Lonchura striata: one gene and its partners. The main gene of each other region encodes a partner of the protein of the gene in region 3 in a complex. Links are inferred from orthologs where the notes say so. Each region holds a gene or a part of one and is shown on either strand. Other genes may lie near its edges. The genes, in order: CNTN6, contactin-4 and PTPRG.

The links.
Region 1: the proteins of PTPRG (region 3) and CNTN6 are in contact, whole or in part, in a crystal structure (PDB 5E5U), measured with the Mus musculus proteins. The link is inferred for Lonchura striata from reciprocal best matches to the Homo sapiens genes PTPRG and CNTN6. Residues at the interface, in NP_033007.2 of Mus musculus: Val225, His226, His227, Lys229, Phe288, Thr290, Gln292, Gln293, Asp294, His295, Val296, Lys297, Ser298, Val299, Glu300, Tyr301; in NP_059079.2 of Mus musculus: Arg129, Val132, Arg135, Gln138, Gly139, Val140, Val141, Leu142, Leu143, Cys144, Gly145, Met222, Gly223, Tyr225, Glu226, Pro227, Lys228, Glu230, Leu252, Asn306.
Region 2: the proteins of PTPRG (region 3) and contactin-4 are in contact, whole or in part, in a crystal structure (PDB 3KLD), measured with the Mus musculus proteins. The link is inferred for Lonchura striata from reciprocal best matches to the Homo sapiens genes PTPRG and CNTN4. Residues at the interface, in NP_033007.2 of Mus musculus: Lys222, Val225, His226, His227, Lys229, Phe288, Thr290, Gln293, Asp294, His295, Val296, Lys297, Ser298, Val299, Glu300, Tyr301; in NP_001103219.1 of Mus musculus: Thr128, Arg129, Ser130, Val132, Ser133, Arg135, Gln138, Gly139, Met140, Val141, Leu142, Leu143, Cys144, Gly145, Val219, Met220, Gly221, Glu222, Tyr223, Glu224, Pro225, Lys226, Glu228, Leu250, Asn304.

Annotation. Positions count from the first base shown.
Region 1 is NC_134614.1:21,914,169-21,921,593, reverse strand, and holds the start of CNTN6 (contactin-6), read right to left. Parts: upstream 3,014-7,425; 5' UTR 2,510-3,013; intron 1-2,509. UniProt on the Homo sapiens protein: Contactins mediate cell surface interactions during nervous system development. Participates in oligodendrocytes generation by acting as a ligand of NOTCH1.
Region 2 is NC_134614.1:22,248,571-22,255,857, forward strand, and holds the start of contactin-4, read left to right. Parts: upstream 1-4,236; 5' UTR 4,237-4,341; intron 4,342-4,748; exon of another isoform or gene 4,749-4,849; intron 4,850-7,287. UniProt on the Homo sapiens protein: Contactins mediate cell surface interactions during nervous system development. Has some neurite outgrowth-promoting activity. May be involved in synaptogenesis.
Region 3 is NC_134614.1:16,766,326-16,773,409, forward strand, and holds the start of PTPRG (receptor-type tyrosine-protein phosphatase gamma), read left to right. Parts: upstream 1-4,060; 5' UTR 4,061-4,251; coding exon 4,252-4,336; intron 4,337-7,084.

The DNA of each region.
Region 1 (7,425 bases), about 5.1 Mb from region 3:
GCAGCAAGGTATGGAAAAATTCCAGCTTTTCCTCACTGCTTCTCCTCCAGCCTCTGAAACTGAGGAGTTTAAGCCCCCATGAGGGATTTTTGTGCAGAAATGTCTTGCTGGCTCTCTGCTCTGTGCTGACCTGGTGTGTTTAGCACTTTCCTAGCTCCAAGTAGGGTTTCCATACCTCTGATTCTCTCTCTCACACCTGTGTGTGGTTTTTTCCCCCAAACATGGGGAATTTTTAAGTACAGTGCCCGGATCTATTTTTATTTGGGTTGTTCTGTTTTACTGTGATTAGGGAACTTGAAGATGCTTTGTTCCCTTTTCAAGTTCTTTATTTTTTCCTTGCATATTCTGCATTTGCTGAAAACCTTTGTGTAAATAAGAGACTTGTGAAGCCTGGTTGTTTTGGATGAAAATAAGGTCACCCAATCACCTAAATTCTGCTGTGTCTGGGGTTCTTTGTGTGTCCCAGGGATGGTTTTTGCCACACAGGGAGTTGTAGCTGTAAAACTGGGCCTGAATTTCTTTGTGTCTCCATTTCTCCTGGAGACAGACGAAGCTTTGAACTTGCCCAAGCACAGAGTTATGGCCAGCTCTGAGTGCAGCCCTTGGGAAGAAGGAATAAATGATTTTTTGGGCCATATTTGCTGGTTTTCCTCCTCTGCAAGGGCCTCCCCTGCTCCAGAGACAGCGTGAGAGGCTGGGGACAAGCAGGACACCATTAAGATGTTTTTTGTGTCCCTGAGGAAGGTGAGCAGAGGCCAATCTGTGGCAATCTTCTGCAATAAACTCAGTTTTTCACAGAAGGAATACTGCAGTAACACGCAGCTAACACAGTTTTGGGGAGGGAAATAAAAATTTGATGCTGTTTCGTAGAGCTGATCTCTTCCCACGTACTCACAAAATATCTTCTAGTGAAAATTCTCAGTTCAAACACAAATAGTGCTTTGAACCACCCAACTTCATGTTTTAAGGCCCCTTGGGCACACTGGTACCTTGTTCTGTGAGGGAAATACTTGCTCCAATGGCAAGAAATTAATTTTAGGGTAGCTTATTATGCACCACAAACCTTTTTAATAGTGGTCATAAAGCTGGAAGCAAAGGAAAGGAGACATGGCTCCTGCTTGATTTAAAGCACTTAGGTGGTTATGGATTATTTATAATTTTATCCTCAGCATGAAAGGTAAAACTTGTAATCCATGGCCAGCAGTACCTCACCAGCATCTGAAAACCACAGCTGCAAACATTGGGGATTTTTTATTTTTCTTTTTTTACACGATAAAATGTGATCTATGGTTGTTGCTAACTTCATAGAGGTACTGATTTGGGACTTTTTAGTGTCATAAAACCTACGAAGCAGAGACTTGTGGAATGTGAAACACTGACACAGTGCCTCTGGAGCACCACAGGCAAAGCTGGCTGATGGAGATGGGTTATTTGTGGGGATGTGGTGCCTGGAATTGCAAACACTGCAGGGTTTAGTGGCACACAGAAAAAATCTCTGAAGTTTCAGGACTTTGTGTGGAAGTCACAAGTCTCCTGTCTTTGGGGGAGAAAAATAACAGGGGAGGTGGAAATGCTACTTCAGAGGAGTAAATATTTGGATTTTGACTCACAATATTTATCTGCAAAGGGTTGCAGTGCTGGTAAAAGGACAAGTAAGTGTTATTTACAGAGTGTTTGCATCTTGCTTGTTCATTCAGCTCCATAAGTGCTGCAGGAAATTGTCAGCTTGGAGCATCCTGCTCCTGCAAAAGCTGCTGGAGGAGCCCATTTCCACATGCAACAACTGTCTGAATCCAAGGATTCACCCCAAAAGCACCATGGGAATATCTGATTTAACAAAAAGCTCTAGTCAGGCACTTGCTTCTGGAAGCAGACTTTCCAAACTTTTGATAAAGTATCACATCCTTTAAAGCTGTGTCATGCAGTGTAAATAAATAACAATATCCAAACTAACACTCCTGCAGGTCTTTGGGTACCAAAGCTGTGAACTTGCTTTATATTTTCCTCTGATGACTCAAACGAGCAACAGGGAAAAACTTTCTTTTTAGGACTTACCTACATTTTCCTGCAAATTTACGTTTATTGCTTTTCCACCTTCAGCTGGCAGAAATGAGGTTAGGCTCTCATTACCCACTTCAGCTTTTGACGTGCTGCAGAAAGTCGTCTGGAAGTGCCAGAATTAGCACTGTCATGCTCCGTGCTGCCCGTTTCACTGCAGCACGGAGCTGTGATCTCCTCGGTGATGCACCTGTGGTGCCCGTGGCCAGCACAGCCTGGGCTCTGCTTGCCTCAACCCTCACACGCATACAAATTCATCCCACACCTCCTTTTCTGCCCAGACCGCACACGTTTGGAGCATCAGCCATTTACAGCCACGCAGGAGAAATAAAGCAGTGAGTTTTCCCCCTTTCTCTCCCCCTTCTGCAAATGAAAACGAGCGAGGAAGGATAAAATCCCAACAAGCCCAGCATCGTCCACACCGCAGCAGCCAGCGCGGTTCTGTACTCACAGCTCCGAGCAGCGAGGGGTCTCAGGATCTCTACAATTTCCTGCAGGACTGTGGGGAGCTCTCAGGCAGGCAGGCTGTTCAGCCAGGCAGAACGGAGCCGTGTGGAAGGTCTGTGCAGCTGGGAGATAATGGAACTGTTTTCCCAGCTGGGACCACGAGCCTTTTATCCGCTGAGCATTGCGTGTGTCTCTTCCCCGGTATTAAGCGTGAAATGCGCTGCCTTCCCCACGCTGCTCCAAGCCAGAACCTGCACAATTGGCGCCTCAATCAGACAAACAGCTCCTACAGCTTGTGCATATCCCTGTCTGGAAATTCGGGATGTGGAAAAATCAGCCCTGCCCGGCTCATCCTTCAAGAAAGCTGAGCGAGCGAAAGCGCAGCTGTCAGAGCGGAGCATGAAAGATTAAATGTGCTCTTGCTGCTCCTCTCGTACAAATATGAGCTCCTGTCAGGTAATCACAAACCTCTCTCCTCAAAAACTGGGTCACTGCATGGGCTTGGGCTTGGAACAGGAGTGGGAATAGTTTTGTTTGGTCCTGGTCCCCACAGCCGTGTCCTGAGCTCTGGAAGGTTCAGCCCGTGGGGTGGGAGCTGTCCCTTCAATCACATCCCAGCCCTGAGTGACCTCTGCACTCAACTGCCCCTTCGTATGTTGCATATTAAACAAATTTAAGTTAAAAAGGGGAGAGGAGACTTGCTTGTCTAAAGTAGCACAGACATCAATTGTGATTGAACTTCAAACCTTCTTGGATTTCCATTTTCTCTCTTGGGATTCCTTCAGCAGAGAAAAGGCAGGGTCAGGCAGGGGAGTCCCCTTCTCTTAGTGAGAAAAGTAACTTGAATTTCTCTCTGAGTTCCCAAATGGTTTGGGTTGGAAGGGCCTTAAAGCTCATCCAGTGAGCATGGGCAAGGACACCTTCCACCATCCCAGGCTGGCCTTGGACACTCCCATGGATCCAGGGGCAGCCACAGCTGCTCTGGGAATTCCATCCCAGTTCTTCTCCACCATCTCAGCCAGGAATTCCATCTCAATCTCCCATCCATCCCTGCCCTCTGGCAGTGGGAACAATTCCTGTGTCCTGTCCCTCCATCCCCTGTCCCCAGTCCCTCTCCAGCCCACCTGGAATCTTCTCTGATGATGCTGGAAGCACCTCAGCTGTCCTGCTCTGCTCTTGGGGTGGGAAATGGGGACAGCAGCACATGGCATTCCCTGGAATGTGCCCACAGGTGCCCAGCAAGCCCTGCCAGCCCCATTCAGAGCTCTCCTCCTGATTAACATAAACAATTTTGCACTTTTCTTCCTGTGAGCTTCTCAAATGAGCTTTACTGACAATTAATTAAGCCTTGCAGCACCTTCTAAAGGAGATAGGCATTATAATTAGCAGCTCCATTTTTAATTAGGGACAAAATTTAAAATGGAATTTTAGGTATTTCCTCATTAAAAATTTTATTCTAAATAATTACAGGGCTTTTTCTAAGTGGTATCAAGAGTAAATAGACTAAAAGTTGCTTGCAACAGTTTAACCCAAGCTTCTTGTAGCCAATTTAAAAAGTTTATTAAAAATTTAGCCTTTTCTATGTCAAAATAAAATAATTTCCTTATGCCTTTCTTGCTGAACAAGACTGGAAACAGAATTTTTCATTGCTGAGGAAATTAATGCTGCTAAAACTTTCCTATTAAAGATTCTGCCTGTATCTTTGAGAAATGACACAGAAAGTGATGATACATTTGAATATTAAACCAGTCTTTTCCTAGAGGTCAGGATAATGCATTTGCATGTTACCAAAATTTGGTGGCTTTGCCCGGTACCCTGTCAAAACAAAAATTCATCGAGATCAACATTTCTTTGCCAAATATTTTGCTTTTAAAGAATTGTGATATTCTACCAGAAAACAAAAAAACAAAAAACAAACAAACAAACAAAAAAAACCAAAAACAAAAACACTTAAAAAAAACACTAAGAAACAAAACCAAAGGAAATATTGATGATCAAAAAAAATAACAAAAACCAAACCAACAAAAGACTGTCGTGTTTCCAGCTGTCAGAAACCCCTTAAACAAAACTTGTGCATCCTTTAAGGAAGGGCTGCCTCTCTTGGGGTTTTGACAGTGTCAGAGCACAGACAGCTCCTGCAAACTGGGGCAACCTCAGCAGCCTGGCCTGGGCCTCCAGTCACCTCAAAACTTGGCTCTGGAGTGACAAAAGTTTCCCTGCCTCAGGATGAAGTGCACGGTGTCCTTGTGTAGCTTTCAGGACGCTGTTGTAGGCTAAAAATACCTGGGAGATAGGATCTGGTCTATAAAGCAGACAGGAGAGCATCAGGAGCACAGGCTGGGAGACAGGAGGGAATCAGAAGTTGAGCCAAGGTGTCTCTTGCACAAACTCGGGCTGGAAGACACTTTCTGCTCTGTTTGCTCGTGGAAATTGGAGATGCCTTGGGGTGATGCACGCGGGGTTTGTCAGTGTGCCTTCAGGAGCTCTCCCGCTGCCTGTGGCTCCTTCAGACACAGGAGACAAAGCCAGGATGTCTTTATCAACTTTTTAACTGAATTACATCAAGGACTAACATCATCTAAACTCTCCACTGTGCACAAGCATCAGCTTGCTCAAGGGCAAATCCCTGCGACCACAAAGGCAAAATTTAAGACCCAAGATGAGTCTTTTCAAACAAAGGAATATGATCCCATCCCGTGAGGTGTTTTACTCAGTCAGAGCCACCTTCTGCTCTGACATTCTTGCATTAACCCACCTGAATTGCTGTTTGGTGTTGACCCCATGCAGAGGGTTGTGGTTACTCTAAAATCCTAAATCACAGAATTTCAGAATGGTTTGGGTTGGAAGGGACCTAAAGGATCATCTCATTCCAACCTCCTGCCGTGGGGCAGGGACACCTCCACCCATCCCAGGTTGCTCCTCTTTATGAATCCAGGACACTGCTCAAGTAAGAGTGAATTAAGTAATTTTACAGTGCTAATCAGTAAACATTTCCCAAATTATTGGCTTTGTCTCCCCTCAGTCCTGTTAGACATGTTCTAAAGTAAGTTTCAACGTAATTTTTCATGAATGCAACTTTGCAATTGTTTTTCAATACAGAGGTGATGTAATTTCAGATTCATGGAGTTACACCACCTTTGTCTTTTGAATATTCCTTCAAGTCTTGTTAGAGACAGATATTGGAAATCTGAGAGCAAAAATCCATCATAATTCACTTGCATTGTAAGAATTAAAATGTACTAGGAATTAAATTGAGCTGCTGGACAGGCTGGGTAGTTGAACAGCACAGGCACTGGGGAATGATCAGCTCTTGCATAAAAGAGGTCTTGAAGTCCCACCAAAATGGATTATTGCACTCTGAATTCCCCAAAAAGTTTGCTGCTGAAGCAGAGAAACCAAGAAAATGCAACTAAACCAAACCAACCTGAATTCTTGATGACTTCTGGGCAAGTGATCACCACGAGGGAGGGAGGCGGCACAACCACCCCAGCAATGAAGCTCCAGAAAAAGGATCTCTCCTTTTGCATCATTTTCCAAAATACAACCTTCCAGAAAAAGGAAAGGGATTTGCTATGGAAGCAATGTTAACAATTTTCACCCTTTTGTGTAAATAATTTTTATTACTATTATTTTTTTAAAATCCTTATTTTGCTCTCCCCCTGCAACTGCAAAGAGCATCAAGTGCCTTCTGCATGTGTTTTAGCACTGTGATATATATTGAAGAACATTCATACAGAAAAAATAATGTAAATTATAGGAAATACACCTTCATATGCAATAGTTGTTTCTTCTGTAGCTTTTGTAGATTTTATTTTACTTGGGGCACACGCATATGATGGAGACATGACACTGAAAAAAGAGATCTGCAGGTTTGACAGATAAATGTTTAAACAGTTTATTTGCCGAGTGCAAAAAGATACAATTCAAAGTATAAAGTGTATTGGTCTTCTTTCCCACACTAGATCCATCAAAGAATCAGAATTAGGCTACTTTATCCCTTGTTTGTATTCCACGAAGCTCTTTCAGGCTTTGTCTCCATGTGGTTTGTTCAGGGCTCCACTTTAGAGTTATGGACAACCCCAATCAGAGGCTCTGCTTTGATAACAAGGGGATTAATTAGTTCCCAACTCTACAAATAAACCAGAAAACAAACCCTCTGAACTGCTGTCTATGTACCCCCAACTCCAAAGATGATTAAAGAGGGAAAGAAGCAGCTCAGGGATGTTGTTAGTCCTGTGCTAAAGTGCCCCATTGATCTCAGTCTCTGGAATAAATGCCAAGGTTTAGTGGGTGTTAATCCTTGCAAAATGTGCAGCTTATTAATGATCCCCCCAGCAAAGGTGACCTCCTGAGCCTGGAGTGAAGATTTGAGAGGAGCCTGAGTAGTTCCTGTGCTCCCAGCTGCTCTGCTGCCACAGAAAAACAGGTTTGTGATCTGTGTCCTGGTTCTTGGGGTGGGAAATGCTCTGATCAATAGCTGGAGGTTTACCTGTGATGGAACTGGAAGCTCTTTAACACCAGGACAGCCCCGATTGGAAATGACTGGACAAGGAAATTTTAAAAGCATAAGCAAGAAGAAGTAGAAAGGTTTTTGGTGGTTATTTTTGTTACTGCTGGTGGTGTTACTGGTTTGTGTTTTGAAGGGCAATCACTGTTGAACAACTTTTGCTCTCCAGACAATCACTGTGACCTTAGTGAGACTTTCTAATGGCTTTGTGGCTAATCCTGCCATGATCTTCTACTCATAAAATGTGGGGAACTTTCTTATCTCTTTTTTTCTTCAGGGTCTTTGTGTGAGATGTGGTTTTTTGCTTTTATTTTTATACCTGTGTTTCTTTTGCTATTTTTTTTAATTTATTTTTTAAAGGAAAAAAAGCCATCTGAGAAAAACACCAGCTGTGCGTTTCCAGATTTCCAGGT
Region 2 (7,287 bases), about 5.5 Mb from region 3:
ATTCTATAAAGGTTCAGAAAGAGTTTGGGTACAGAAAGTCCAAGGAAAAACATGGAAAGATTCTGGACTCAGTCTCTACTTAAACTGAGTTTTTTAAACTATGAAAGACTTTCCCAGCTATGATGTTTAGGTCCTTTGCTGCGCTCCTTGATTCAGACAGAACTGCTGTTGTCATCCAGAGACTTTATAGACCAGAAGAATTTGGAATTAAACTAAAGAAATTAAGATACCTTTAGGAATCTGTGCCTTAAAAGCTGTTTTTTGTGCTTGGACGGTGAAGTTTGTGAGTTTAGATCTTTGCTTCTCAATTATTTGTCAGTGCTAAATATCCATATTTTCAAAATATCCTGTTGAAATTAGCACTAGCTGGAATATTTGGCCAAAAAGGGAGGAGCAAATACGGAATGTGGAGCTCTGAAACAGTCACTGATTTATGCTGGCACAACACCAAGGGTTTGCTTCAGTTTTTTCTCTGCTCCCAAGCAGGACATCAGCCTTCAGGGCCATTTATGCACCACTTTTCCACTTCAACCTTGTGGAAAGGATTTATTTCCCTACAAATCCCCACCTGTGGTGTCACAAAGCTGTGGACTCAAGATTATTTACAGATCCCACCCACAAATAATTCTCAACCGTTTGCTGATGACACTTTTCTTACTGCATCACATACAAAATTACCAATTTGATGCATTGTCCTAAAATGAAACTCATACAATGCAAAGCTGGTGATGATAAAAAAAGGGCAGATTTCTCCAAAATTCCTTGTGAGCTGCATTGCTCCCTGAGATATCACCGAGATACAAGCAGGACTTCGACAAAACCTCAGAGGACTTTACAAATAGCCATCACCAAGTGAAAAGAGCCTTGGTATTTTAATTAAAGGTCAGACAAAACCCCAGTGCAAGCCTTGGGGATGTTTTGCAGCAGTCATTTAAAGCAGAATTGCTTACCAAACTCTTACTGTATCAGTAACACCGTGCCCAAACCTTTCCTAAGATTTACACAAACTGCAGCCTAAACACAGGAGCCTCTGCCAAGTTCAGGCTGCGAGTTCAGCAGCCATAAATCACAGCCTGTGCCTGCTCCACCTCTACTCCTGGTTGTAGCAGCGCTGCAGGGCTGTGCAGGGCTGTGTTTACTCCTCTGTGCAGGCACACATGGGGTTCAGCCTGGGGGAAGCCTATTTGGGATTGCCTAAAAACAGAGGCCAGACAAAATTAAGGGAATAAAAAGTTGTTCTATTTATTGAAGGGTTTCAGGTACATTTAGGATAGCCCCAGGGGCTACACCCAGGGTTTTCACACTTTTATAAATTTGGTCCATTTGGATATTGGGGGTGAATCTGCCAATTCCAGCTGCAGGTAATGAAGTCACTGACCCCAGGTTTGCTCCCCCAACTCACTTTTGTTCCCATCTCTCTGGCCTGAGGCAGTGAGGGGTCCTTGACTGCCAGGCCTGGAGAGGAATTGTTGTGTCTGCCCCAAATGGGGAAGCAGCAGCTCACACTGAGTGTGGAGTTTGGAGTTACACCCTGAAGAACCGCAGGGTGACAAATAGATGGAAAATAGAAAAGCTGAAATTTTAAGGCACCATGGGGACTCTCCGTGATGGTGTCCCAGGGCAGGACTTGGGGCCAGCTCTGCCTCCTGCGTGGCTCTGTGCACACACACACACACCAAACACACACGTGGCAGCCTCCACGGCAATTCAGAGTGGTTTGTTTGTGCCTAATTAACACGGGCGTGCTAAATGTCCCGGTGATGCTCCTGCTGTCAGTCACGTCGGGGCAAGAGTTTCTGAAGGTCGCTCTGTAAGGCTTGATTCAAAGTGTCAGCTCTGCTGCTCCAACCCAGCTTAAAAACCCGCCAGGCACTTTTCCTTGCCAGATATATGAAGTATTTGAGATTATTTGTTCAAGAGAATATGTCTGAATTTTCAACGGGAGGCGTTGATTGCTGACTCTTATACCTTTGGCCTTATTTGCAGATTTGTTGGGGATAAAAAAAATCAAAAAGCCGGTGACCTGGTTTGCTTGTTCACTCAAGGGTGAGTTAAAGGTGTGCAGGGAAGGTGGCACAAGCAAAAGGCTTTCCAGGGAAGCCATCTGTCTGCTCCCACCGCCGCCCTGCCTTCACCTTTCAGCTCTCATTTGCTGGCTTGCCACCCAGCCGAGGGTGGGAGATGTTTCTCCCCGCTGCCTGCGAGGACGTTGCACGCTCAGCTGGGTTGTGATGATGATGGTGATGCATTCAATGCATGCTCCCTTTGACAAATTCGGCAGCGTTTCCAGCCTGATTTCCCTCCAGAGCCATTACACCCCACGCAGATTGGCAGCGCCGTGCCACGGCGCCGGGATTGATGAGGTGACCTTGGAGACACAGGCGCTCCCAAATTGAAAACACTTGGCGCTCAACTTTATTTTGGATTGCTGAGCAGGCTCCCCTCCTGTATAAATCAGGAGGAGATTACACAAATAATACACAACATTTATATAGCATTTCAAACCACCAGGGGATTCCTCCATGCGTGGCTCAAGTGCAGCACTCCTGCCTCCTCTAGACTTCGATTCGCTCTTGGGCCCAGCCTGAAACTCTCAGTAGGACCCAGCAAAGGCAGCACCAGCCCCTCCTGCTCTCTCCAGGAGCACTGAGCTGTGTGGAGGGCCATCCTCCATCACCAAGGTTGGATGATCTTGGAGGTCCATCCTAACCATGATTCCATGACAAAGGAGCTGAGCATTCCCAGGACAACAGAGGTACCCAAGGACTGCTCAGGATTGTGCCAGCCACAGCTGGTCCATCAGCCTGGAGGTGCTCCAGGTGCTCTCACAGCTCCACGAAGGGCTCACAGCCCCTTGGACCTGCAGAGCTGACCCTTGTGTGAGGTTCAGCCTCACTCCTGAGCTGCCCAAAGAGGCTCTGATAGGTGGTGAGGAATCACCCGAGTGCAGGCACGTCAAGGAGGAACCTGTGAGCAGCAGCAAACCCCAACCCAACTGCACTAACGTTAATTGTCATTCCGTTTCTATCGACATGCAGTTTATTAAACCATAAAGCAAGGCAGCAAGCACAGAGAGCAACTCCAGAGATAATTAAACATAATAAGGGTTTCACTTAATCCCTCAAAACCCAGGGGAGGCACAGTTAAGACTGAATACGCTCTTTGCACTGCGAGGCTTTTTTTTGCACAGGCATTTAAGAGTGCTTCCCAGGACAGGATTTTGGGACGGGGGAAAGGTAGGTCCCACATTCACTTCTGAATATTTTTTTTCCCCCCTTTCTGTGCGCCTTCACATTATGCTGCTTATTAAGCCTGAACTCATGACTTTCAAAGCAGTTTGTGGCTCATCGTTTGCACTGCAGCAGCAAGCAGAGACCCCGATGAGGGATCCTGAGGAAGGTGTGGGAGCATCCCTGGGCACAGGGAGGTCAGCAGAGCTTGGGAGCAGCCGGGCTGGTACCCAGGTGTGCTGTGCTCCTCATCTCCCTGCACTGCACACGCATTTCTTGGACGAGGAGGAGCGGGAAGGGGATGGAAGGAGACGGTGAGGGCTGAGCGAGAGGCTGGCAGAGCAGGCGGGTGAGGAGAGGCTCCCTGTAAAGAGCGAAATAATTACGGCAAATCTGGGATTAAAGCCGGAGGGTAACGCGCCTAGGGGGAAGTAAATAAATAAACAAAAGCCGCGAGCGGAAATTTGGACTTCTGTGGTCTCCTTTAGGGGGACCAGGGCTGGTCGGGGATGGGGAAAAGCGGCGAGCGCGACTGGAACGGGCTCGGAGCTGCCCGGGGTGCGGGTGGAGCCGCACCTGGGCTGCAGCAAAGCGAGCCGGGGGCAGGGCAGGGGATGGGGCTGAGCACCGAGCGCTGCCGCATCCCTGAGTGGGAGCCGGAGCATCCCTGGGTCAGAGCGGGCACATCCCTGAGTGAGTGCGGGCACATCCCTGAGTGGGAGCCGGAGCATCCCTGGGTCAGAGCGGACACATCCCTGAGTGAGTGCGGGCACATCCCTGAGTGAGTGCGGGCACATCCCTGAATGAGAGCAGGAGCATCCCTGAGTCAGAGCGGACACATCCCTGAGTGAGTGCGGGCACATCCCTGAGTGGGAGCCGGAGCATCCCTGTGTCAGAGCGGGCACATCCCTGAGTGAGTGCGGGCACATCCCTGAGTGAGTGCGGGCACATCCCTGAGTGGGAGCAGGAGCATCCCTGAGTAAGTGTGGGCACATCCCTGAGTGGGAGCCGGAGCATCCCTGAATGAGAGCGGCCACATCCCTGAGTCAGAGCGGGCGCATCCCCGAGTGAGTGCGGGCACATCCCTGAGTGGGAGCCGGAGCATCCCTGAGTAAGTGCGGGCACATCCCTGAGTGGGAGCCGGAGCATCCCTGAGTAAGTGCGGGCACATTCCTGAGTGGGAGCCGGAGCATCCCTGAGTAAGTGCAGGCACATCCCTGAATGAGAGCAGGAGCATCCCTGAGTAAGTGCAGGCACATCCCTGAATGAGAGCAGGAGCATCCCTGAGTAAGTGCGGGCGCATCCCTGAGTGAGATCCGGAGCATCCCCGAGTAGGAGCCGGAGCATCCCGGCAGGCGGATGCGGGGATGCTCCCCCCAGGCTGCTCCAGGCGCACCGGGCGGCCACCGGCGGGGCAGGAAGGGTTAAAGCGGCCGCCGCCGCTCCGCCGCCCGCCCCCCGCGCACGGCGGGGCCGGGGGTGGGGTCTGCGCGGAGCCCGCCCGGCTCCCGCCGCTGCCGCTCAATGCTGCGGCCGCGGGGCTGCGGAGCCGCGCTCGGGGCTGCGCCCGCACCCGCGGAGCCGCGCCGGGCCGGGCATGTCCCCCCCTCCCCGCCCAGGTAAGCGCGGCTCGGCACGGCACGGAGAGGAGGGAGGCAGGTTTAAAACGGGGGGGAAAAAAGAAAAATAAAAAAAAAAAAAAAAGAGAAATGGGGAGTAAATAAGGGATTTTTAAGCAAGGCTGCGGCGCGGGGGAAGGAGAGCGCGGGCGGGATGCGGAGCCGGCAGAAGGGAGCGCGGTGCCCGCCGGGGTCCCCCCGGTGCCCTCGGAGCGCGGAGCTGCCGCGGGGCGCGGAGCGGTGCGCGGGGTCGCGCAGAGCCCCCCGGGTGGGGTGGCCGCGGAGCACCGGACCCAGAGCGGGCGCATCCCTGAGTGGGAGCCGGAGCATCCCTGAGTGGGAGCCGGAGCATCCCTCAGCCCGAGCATCCCCGAGTGGGAGCCCGAGCATCCCCGAGTGGGAGCCGGAGCATCCCTCAGCCGGAGCATCCCTGGGTGGGAGCCGGAGCATCCCTGAGTGGGAGCCGGAGCATCCCTCAGCCGGAGCATCCCTGAGTGGGAGCCGGAGCATCCCCGAGTGGGAGCCGGAGCATCCCCGAGTGGGAGCCGGGGCATCCCTGAGTGGGAGCCGGAGCATCCCTGGGTGAGAGCCGGAGCATCCCTGAGTGGGAGCCGGAGCATCCCTCAGCCGGAGCATCCCTGAGTGGGAGCCGGAGCATCCCCGAGTGGGAGCCGGAGCATCCCTGAGTGGAACCCGGAGCATCCCCGAGTGAGAGCGGGCGCATCCCGGAACGCGGACGCAGGGATGCTCCCTCTAGGCTGCTCCAGGCGCTCGCAGAACTTTTTGCCGGCTCCAGCCGCGTTCCCGGCTGGAGTTGAAGCTCCTTTTGCTTTCCCCAGGCTGCTGCTGCTCCCGTGTCGTGAGCAACATACCGCAGCGTGTTGTTTTATTTATCCCAGACAGGAACGGCTTGCGCTCGAAACTACAAATTAAAGGATGCTGCTTGCATAACAAGTGGCAATAGTTTGTATCTTACATACTAATTACCCGTCACCTTAATTTAGGCTAAGCCAAAGAAGGGTTTTTTCCCCGAGGAGGGCTCGTTCGATAGAGCAGCCTGGTGTCGTGGAGCCACGTATTCCTCTCCCCTGGCTGGATGAATAATGTGGGCAGAGGATTAAGAGCCAGCACGCTGATGAGGCACCCTGGGGTGCGGGGAAGAAGGGGGCGTTTGGCTGGAGGCAGAAGTCAGTTTTTGTGGCTGTGTTCGTCCATCCTCCGGTTTCCATGGCTCGGTTCGGGACCTGCATCCCAGCGGTCAAACCACCGAGGTGGGAGCGGGGACTGGTGGCAGCTCCTCTTGCGATGGTCGCGATGCTCCGGAGCTCCTTTCCGACATCCAGCACCCCCTGCCCCGCAGTGGGTGGGTGGCTGGCTGTGCCCCCGTGCTGGCAGCGTGCCCAGGGGTGCCGTGACCCATCCCCGTGGCTGTCGGAGCCCCTTCCCTGTCCCTGTGGCTCCCGCAGCAGCTCCAGCCCAGGTGTGCAGGTCATGCTGCAGCCGGGCTCCACAGCCAGCACCGAGCGTGGGGAGCAGGATGATGGTGGGGGGCTGCACTTAACGGGGTCCCCTAGAAGCTTTTTCTGGCTGGGAAACTGAATTTTGCTTCTTTTCTGGACCTGAGGGAGCTGCGTTTTTACCCTGCGTTTGTAAGTCCCTGAAAACTGCTTAAATGGCTCTTGAATAATCCTTCAAAGTCACCTCCCCTCTTTAATCTAATACCAAAAGGACTTCGTTTACAGGGCTAATCCCTCTTTCCTTGCTGTACAGCCTCATTTAGAGGTGTGCACACTGCTAATTTCCCCTTGGCAGCCTGCTGGAGACAATGGCTTCCACTGGCGAGCAGCAACCTCTCCCTCCCGTGCTGAACTCTGGGCACAGCTGAACCCCTCTGACAAGAATTTAGGGGATTTTAGGAAGCCTCCCTTCGCGGGAAGCCACCCCAAACTCTGGGTGTGTTTCTCAACACCACTGAGGTGTTTAGAGGCTCTGAGGGTCTCCTGCCTCAAAACCCCACAGTGCTGGGTGGTGGGAGTGGAGCGGGGTGTGCCTGCAGGTAGTTGGAGTTGAATGATCCTGGCAAACCTCTGGAACTGGAAGGATTTTCCCATCCTTTTGCAGTGGAGCTGAGCTCTCTCCCAGCCCGTCTGGCGCTCCCAGAATTTTAAGCTCGTTCTGCTCTGCACAATGACAAAACGTGTGTAGGGAATGTGAATGACAGCAGAGGAGCAGCTCACCTGTGCAGGCAGCCTCCTGGAAAACGGGCTGAGACGCTGCAGCCTCCAAAGCCTGGCTCTCCATGGGTTAACAGGGATGCCTGAGCTCACCCGGGATGCTGAGGAGGGCAGGCGTGCCTGGGAGGGGTGAGTGTCCTCTGCCCTGGGCCACAAGGACACGTCTGCCCCTGGGGTGGTTCCCTGAGACCTCAGCCATCCTCC
Region 3 (7,084 bases):
GTCTCTGAGTTCATTTATTTTTATATCTTCATCAATCAAACAGCACAGCTCATTGCTATGATTATATTGAAGTAAAGCCCTCTCTTTTATCACAGCACTTTGCTTGCCCTCCACCTCTGGCTCTCAGCAGGTTCTCAGATGCCTTGTTAAGACCTTCAAAGCCTCACAGCATACTCTGAGAAGAATGCATCTGTCCTGAGGCTATGAGAAACTAATTCTGCAATAGTATAATTTATGAAACTCAGCATCCTTCTTTTCCTTTCCATGCAAAGCTGAACAGGAACTAGGGCTGCTGAATTAATCTGAAAGTTTATACATCACATTACTTATAATCTGAACTGTAGCTGCTTCTTCATACTTCATGTTGAATTATCCTTTCAGGGCTAGATCCTCACCTGGTCTTTTCCCCACAGATTAACCATTCCAGTGAGGCTGGCTGTAAATCAAGGAAAATTCATCCTTTTCTTTCTAGTCACAAAAAGAAGTGTAACTTTGTCTACCTGAATTTTTTCTTTGATTTTTATTTCTCCAATCCTTTACATAGTCATTATAGATGTTAAGAAGCCTGTTTTGGAAATGATTAATGCTATTAATAATTTTCTAATTCAATAAAACCTCTCATCTTTGAACTCCTTGCAATATTTTTCTGCTTTCTTCAGCTTTTCACTAATTCAAACATATGACAAATACAACACTTTGTTTCAGTTTTCTATTATTTCTCATGTCTGATCAAATAAATTAACAGACTTTCATTTCTTTCCCAGGAGTCATGCCTGTATGTTGATGAAGGTAGCATAAAAATATTACTTGTTCAAACAGGAGGGGGAAAGAAGGATAAAAGTTATCTTTTATTCACTGTTCCAAGCAAACCAGGGCTGCTTGTCCCATTCCTCTCACCTTGACATCACCTGCTTCGCTAACCATAAGTATTGCAAGATTTGCAGAGCACCCACTGGCCTGGTTTTGCTGCACTGGGGTATGTGTCCCCTTTCAATCCCTTCAATACAGTAGCAGCTATTTGAATCACGCCAGCCACAGTACTTCAGTCACTGGGAAGAATCAGCTGTGCTATCTGGTGATAGATTTTTATATTCTGGTGTGGCTGCTCCGAAGCCAGGCGGCCCAGCCCAGCAGAGCAGCATCCTGCTAATGCAGTTTGCTGTGTTTGGGTAGTTAAAGATCCGTCTGCAGGCCAATTTGTACCTGTGTATTGTTGATAGACAGCGTGCCTCGGGCACAGAGATACTGCATGCAGGAAATGGATTCTCATTTAACCGTGTTTAATTTTGTTCTCTGCATCTCCATCATCCATCTTTCCATTTCTCTGCCCACCCAAATTGCTAATGCGAAACAAAGCTACTTCTGCCACCACAGCTCCTAAAGTGATGTGTGACGATGCAATGATTGATTTCCCACTCCAGGAAAAGTGGGTCATTGTACATGTTGTACCACAGCAGGCTGAACCAAGCTGGTCCTGCTGACATTGGGCTTTTACAGATTTGTTTTAAGAAGTTCAGACCTGAGGCGACTACTGTGAATATCCAGCCTGAACACCTTTGGTTTTTGATGGGAGCTCTGCCATTCTAAAATCTTCCTTAGCAGCTTAGAGAGATCTGAAGTCATCTGTGCTCCTCAGGAGACACTACTCTGATTATGCATTTTATATCTTACTTTCATGTTTGCACCAAGAATGGAAAATGCAAAATTCCTCCAATTCCAAGATATGGGTCCAGTTTCAGGTTTGTCATAGTCCAAGAGAGAAAACCCTAAACGAATTTAAAAATATGTTTAAATATAAAATGGTGCAATTAACAGCTTTTCCAGAGGATTTTGAATTAGTTAGAAAAATACTAATTCAAACTGCTCTTTGAAAAGAAATCCACTGCTTTTACTCTTCTTTTGTGATATTGCAATAGTGTGTGATAACTTTTCTCATGTAATGAGACCTGTTGAAGCCCACTTTTAGATTGAAACACCTTAAGATTGCCTCTTATGATGCCAGGGAGACATCATTTGAAGAGGCAGGTCTCAGTATTGGTGTAGAACCTGCCTCTCTATCTGCTGAAATAGAACAGCAAAATTGCAATCAGTTGCTGAAAGGGGAATATTTTGCAGGTTTTTTCTGAACAGCCCAGTAAGTAACCGAGCCCAGATGTCACGGCAGAATCCAAAAGGTCAAGGCAGGAAGGGATTTGATTTTGATTTTCATAGAAAAAGAAACATCAGGAAAATTTAGCTCTTAAAATTGCATCTTTGTTTTTATAAGAGTTGAAACCATGTTCTGGGAAATGATTTAATGGACAAGCTGGATGAGTCCTTTCTCCAAGGCCTATAAATTTTTGTTCTGCTTTAGACAAATCTATACACAAGTACCTTCTCTAATTTTTGCACACCCCAATGGGTAGTGTCCTCAAGGGCAGAGAATATCTAATCAGGTCCTAAAATCCTTACACTTGAAAAATCCCTACTGGGACGAGCAGTTTTGGCCAATAAGGACAGCACCTTTAACTTCAAATGTGATTTTTGGCAGCCACGACCTGGTATGTGGGAGAAAGTCAAAGGAAAGGCTCCAAATGTCTCCTGATGAGGGGCCCTTTGGATGCAGCATAATCCACTGCCTTGGCATCTTGTGCTGAGTGGGGTAAACCTGGATGGACACAAAACCCCTTGCAGACAGTGCTAATTACCTGATGGCGCTGCTTTAGTGACCCCTAAGCTGAGGAAGAGGGAGAGAAAATCACTGCCATTCCACAAATGACTTCTGTATTTTCCTACTCTGTTCCTCCTCCTGCCGACCATCTCCTCTCCTCTGGAAACACCAGAAATGTGGAAGGTTTGCAGGTAAGTGAAGAGGAGCACAGCAAATGACAGAGCCAGAAATTTAAGCATCAGCAGACCACAGCAGAGCCAGGAAATACCAAGTACAAACAACCATCCCTTCATCCTGGACTCACACCATTTTCTGCTTCTGTTTCCTGTGCACAATTATCACCCATTCAGAAACTGCCGACGAGGCATGGAGCGGTTGTAGATGCAGAGTGGCTTGGGATAGCCTTCATCTGACTTTACAGAAACATCAAATAATTCTCTCATTTTGAGGTAGCTCTCTGGAAATACGTAGTATAATGCACAATATTGGGGAAAAAAATTAGCAATTTTGTGGGATGCTTCCAGCGACACCCAGAATGATGAGTATTACTGGGGGAGGAAAAATCTACGTGATTCTGGGGGTAGTGGGGGTGGAGGTGTCGCTTGCAGTACCCAAAAAGATACATATCACTGGAGAACAAAATCTGTATGATTTCCATGAGGATTTCTGGAAATACCCGGCACAGCCCTGAGCTGTGAGATTCGAAGGGGATGGGAAACTGCGTGGTTTTGGGGCGGGGAGGGGCGGTCGGACCCCTCTGGCAGCACCCGGAGTGATGCACACAAGCCGGGGGGGCACCACGAAGGACAGGGCCCCCTCTCAGCACGCACCGGCGGGCGGCACAGCGAGACGAGAAACTTCCAGCAGACAGCGCCGGGGCGAAAGCGCGGAACCCGAAATTGCAAGCGGCGAATTTCCGCGGCTCGGCGGCACGCCGTCCTCCGCGACTACACGCACACAGCCGGCGGGGCGGGAGCGGGAGCGCGCACGGGAGCGCGTCCCCGAGCGCGCCCCCGCCCCGCCGCCGCGGCCGCTTTAAGGGCGGCGGGGGCGCGCCGCCGGGGCGCCCGGCGCGCCGCCGCCTCTCCTCGCCTCGCCTCGCCGCCGCGCCGCGCTCTCTCTCCCTCTCTCTCCCTCGCCCCGCTTTAAAGTCTCCGCCAGGATCCGGGCTCGCCCGCCACTTCCTGTACGGCAGGATGGAGCGCGCCGGGGCCCCGGCTGACCGCCGCCCGCCCGCCCGTGCGCGGAGGCGGCTGTGAGCGCCCCGTCCGCGGCATGCGCGCCCCGCCGCTGCTGCCCGCCTGAGCCGCGCCGCCCCGCGCCCGCCGAGCCGCGCGGGGGGGTCCCCGCGCCCCGCCGGCGCTCCTCGCTGTCCTCCCCCTGCCCCGCGCTTGGGGGATTTTTTTTTTTTTTTTCCTCGTAGAGAAGGCGAGCAGGAGCCCCCCGCTTTCTCCCGCAGGAACAGGGGTGCGGGGAGAAACTTATTTTCAACAAGTTTTTTTTATTTTTTTTGCCCCCTCCCTCCCCCCCCCTTTTTTTTTTCCTCCCCCTGTGTGTTAATTATTTTAGCCCCATTCCCCTTTCGATGTGCGGCTTTGGACATGCGGAGGCTACTGCAACCGTGTTGGTGGATCTTTTTCTTGAAAATCACCAGCTCCGTGCTCCATGATGTGGTGTGCTTCCCCGGTGAGTGAGAGCGGCGGCTAGGGGGGCTCCCGGTGCCTCGTCCACACGTGCCCGCGACCCCCGCAGGGAGCCGGCGGGGCATCCCGCGGGCGCGGAGGATGCGCCAGGGACCGCGGGGGCCCGTTTGCCGGGGCGGCCCCAGCGTTGGGTGTCCTCCCGCTCCACAGCACTCTCCCGGCTGCGGGCTGCGCTGCCCGCGAGTGGGGCCGTGCGTGGAGCACGGGCTCGGTTCCGCGCTCCCGGCGCGCTGTCCCCGGTCTCCGGTGCATTGCAGCGCCCGGCGGCGTGGGGCGGGCGCGTGTGTGGGGGGGTCCTTGCGCGCTGCTGTTCTTCCGTGGGGCTGCCTGGAGCTCCCTTTGTGCTGCGGGACCGCCGCTCGCCGCCCCGAAAGGCAGCGTGACTCCGCGCTCCGACTCCGCGTCGCAGCCCCCCGGTTCCCCCGCCAGAAACTTCGCGGTGCGCGGGTCTGTGCCCTCCCCACCCCACTCGTGTCCGCGGTGGGGGTCTCGCCGTGCCGCGTGCTGACCTTGGCAGGGCGGGGGGGAGTCCCGGGAGGCTGCGCCTCCGCACCGCACCGGGGCTAGAGCTGCGCGGCCACCGCCGCGCACCCGCGGGAGAGCGCTTCCGCGGGCGGGGGGCACTCGGCGACCACCATACAGTTCTCCCCCCGCTTTGAACCCCACGGCCGGTGCCTGCGTATCGCTTCTCGCCCCGGCTCGACCCGCGGGGCTGGCGTGTGACGGGGCCGGGTGGGCGCTCCCCGCCGCGGGACGCGCGGCCCCGCCGCGGCCCCGGCCCGGGGGAACTCGCGGGGCTCGGGCTGCGCCGCCTCCCGCCGCAGCGCCCGGGCCGCCCGCCAGGGGCGCTGTGGCGCCGCCGGCGCCCCCGCGGGGCGCGCGCCCCTCCGGCGGCGCGCAGCGCGGGCCCCGCCCGGCGCGCTCCCGCGGCCGCCCCGGGCACGGCCGGGTCCCGGGAGGGGCCGGGGGTCTCGGGCGGTCCCGGGGGTCTCGGGCGGTCCCGGGGGTTGCTTTGCCCGGAGCTGCCGCCCTCCCGGCGGGGATGGGGCGGGGGGTGCGCGGCGAGGGGCCCCGGGGGCAGCGCGAGCCCCTCTGCCCCCGCCGCCGCGGCTCCTCCCGTCCTTGCCGTGAGCTCCCGAGGCTGCCCTGGCTCTTGTGCGAGAGTCCAATGAAATAATTAAATTCTGGAGGTTCTATAGGAACTTTCACTTATGTGTCCTTTTTTTTTCCTCTTTCTGGAATACCCTTTTTTTTCCTAACACCAAATGCAGAGCTAAGCAGCTAGACGCATCCCATTCCTTCCAGCAGCTTCTCACATGGCAAAATGATTCGAAGCAAAAAGAAACTAAGTTGGGGAGAGGGTTAATACCTCTGCAGCTTTTGACGAAACATTTATCTTCCTTGTATTGATTTCTTCTCAATTTCAGCCCTTGGAGTGATGCCTTTCTCTCTGGTTCTGATATGTATTGTATAGTAATTACATCTAGAAGGCAGGCTTCAGGAATGCTGCAGGAAAACAACCCGATGTTGGTTTAATATGACAGTATTGTATGACTTGCTGATTTAGATCAGCGATGTTTGAACCAGATAATATTTGCATTATGGTTCGAATATGAAGATGGATGCAAGCAGAGGGTAGTAGGACGCTTGCAGAGTGTTGGTAAACTCTTTAATGCCAGAAGCCATAAAACAGCTGTGTAATACTCGGGAATGTTTCGGGGCCGTTTGTTGCTAAAGGTTTGCCTGGAAAGCAAACTATTTTCCAGAAAGGCTTTTATGCCTTTAGTTTTTGTACAGAGCTACCATGAGCTTTCCTCTGAAGAGCAGCAGTACCTGGTGTGCGTGCAGCCGAGGGGTGCGAGGGAAACATCCTGAGAAACGGGGACGCCTCCCGCGCTGGTCCCGCTCTGGTCCCGCTCTGGTCCCGCACCTCAGCGATGCCCGAGGCAGGAGAGCTGCAGCGAGGATCTCTGTGGGCTCTAACAGGACTTTGGTGCCCACAACATCCAATGGCAAATCATCGGAATTTGTGTTGGCAGGGAATCCCGGCCGGTTATTAACCATTTACTATCTATCACAAATGCTGCTGTATCTTTTCACAGTGTTTTCTAGAGACGATTAAAGAAGTAAGGTATTTGTCAGCTTGGTTTTAATTTGTAAGCATCCTTCTTCCCTGTGTTTCATATCTGGCTCCCTTTAAATGGAAGAGAGGTCACTACTTGTTTTCTCCCCTGCGAATCACTTTACTTTGTGAGAAAACATAAAGGCTATTCTTTTCTTTGTTCAGTAACAATAAATGAACCATGTAGAAAATAAGTCTTTGCAGTATTTCTTTGTTACTAGTGTTGTAGTAGGGCTTCACTGTTTAAGTAGGTATTTTTGTTGCTGTTCCTTTGGTTGCAGTAAGAGAAAGGAGTCAGTCTGGCAGAAAAATATGTGGGTAAGGGTTTCCTCTTTCTGAACAGTTTAGTGCATTTCTCTGTGGGCTTGTCACTGGTAATTGCATTGGTTAATAAATCAAACCAAGACAAGGTAAGGGGTTGTTTCCATGGGATCTGTTTGCTCATTAATCTAAATTCACAGTACCAAAAATCAGTAAGACATAAATAGTAGCATTAAGGTGATATCCTTACTATCTGATTTCTTGGTGCTTTGCCAAGAGAGAGTAAGTATTTTTTTGTAAAGGCAGAAGTACACATTTGTGCAGTTTTTAGCTCTTCTTTGACATTCC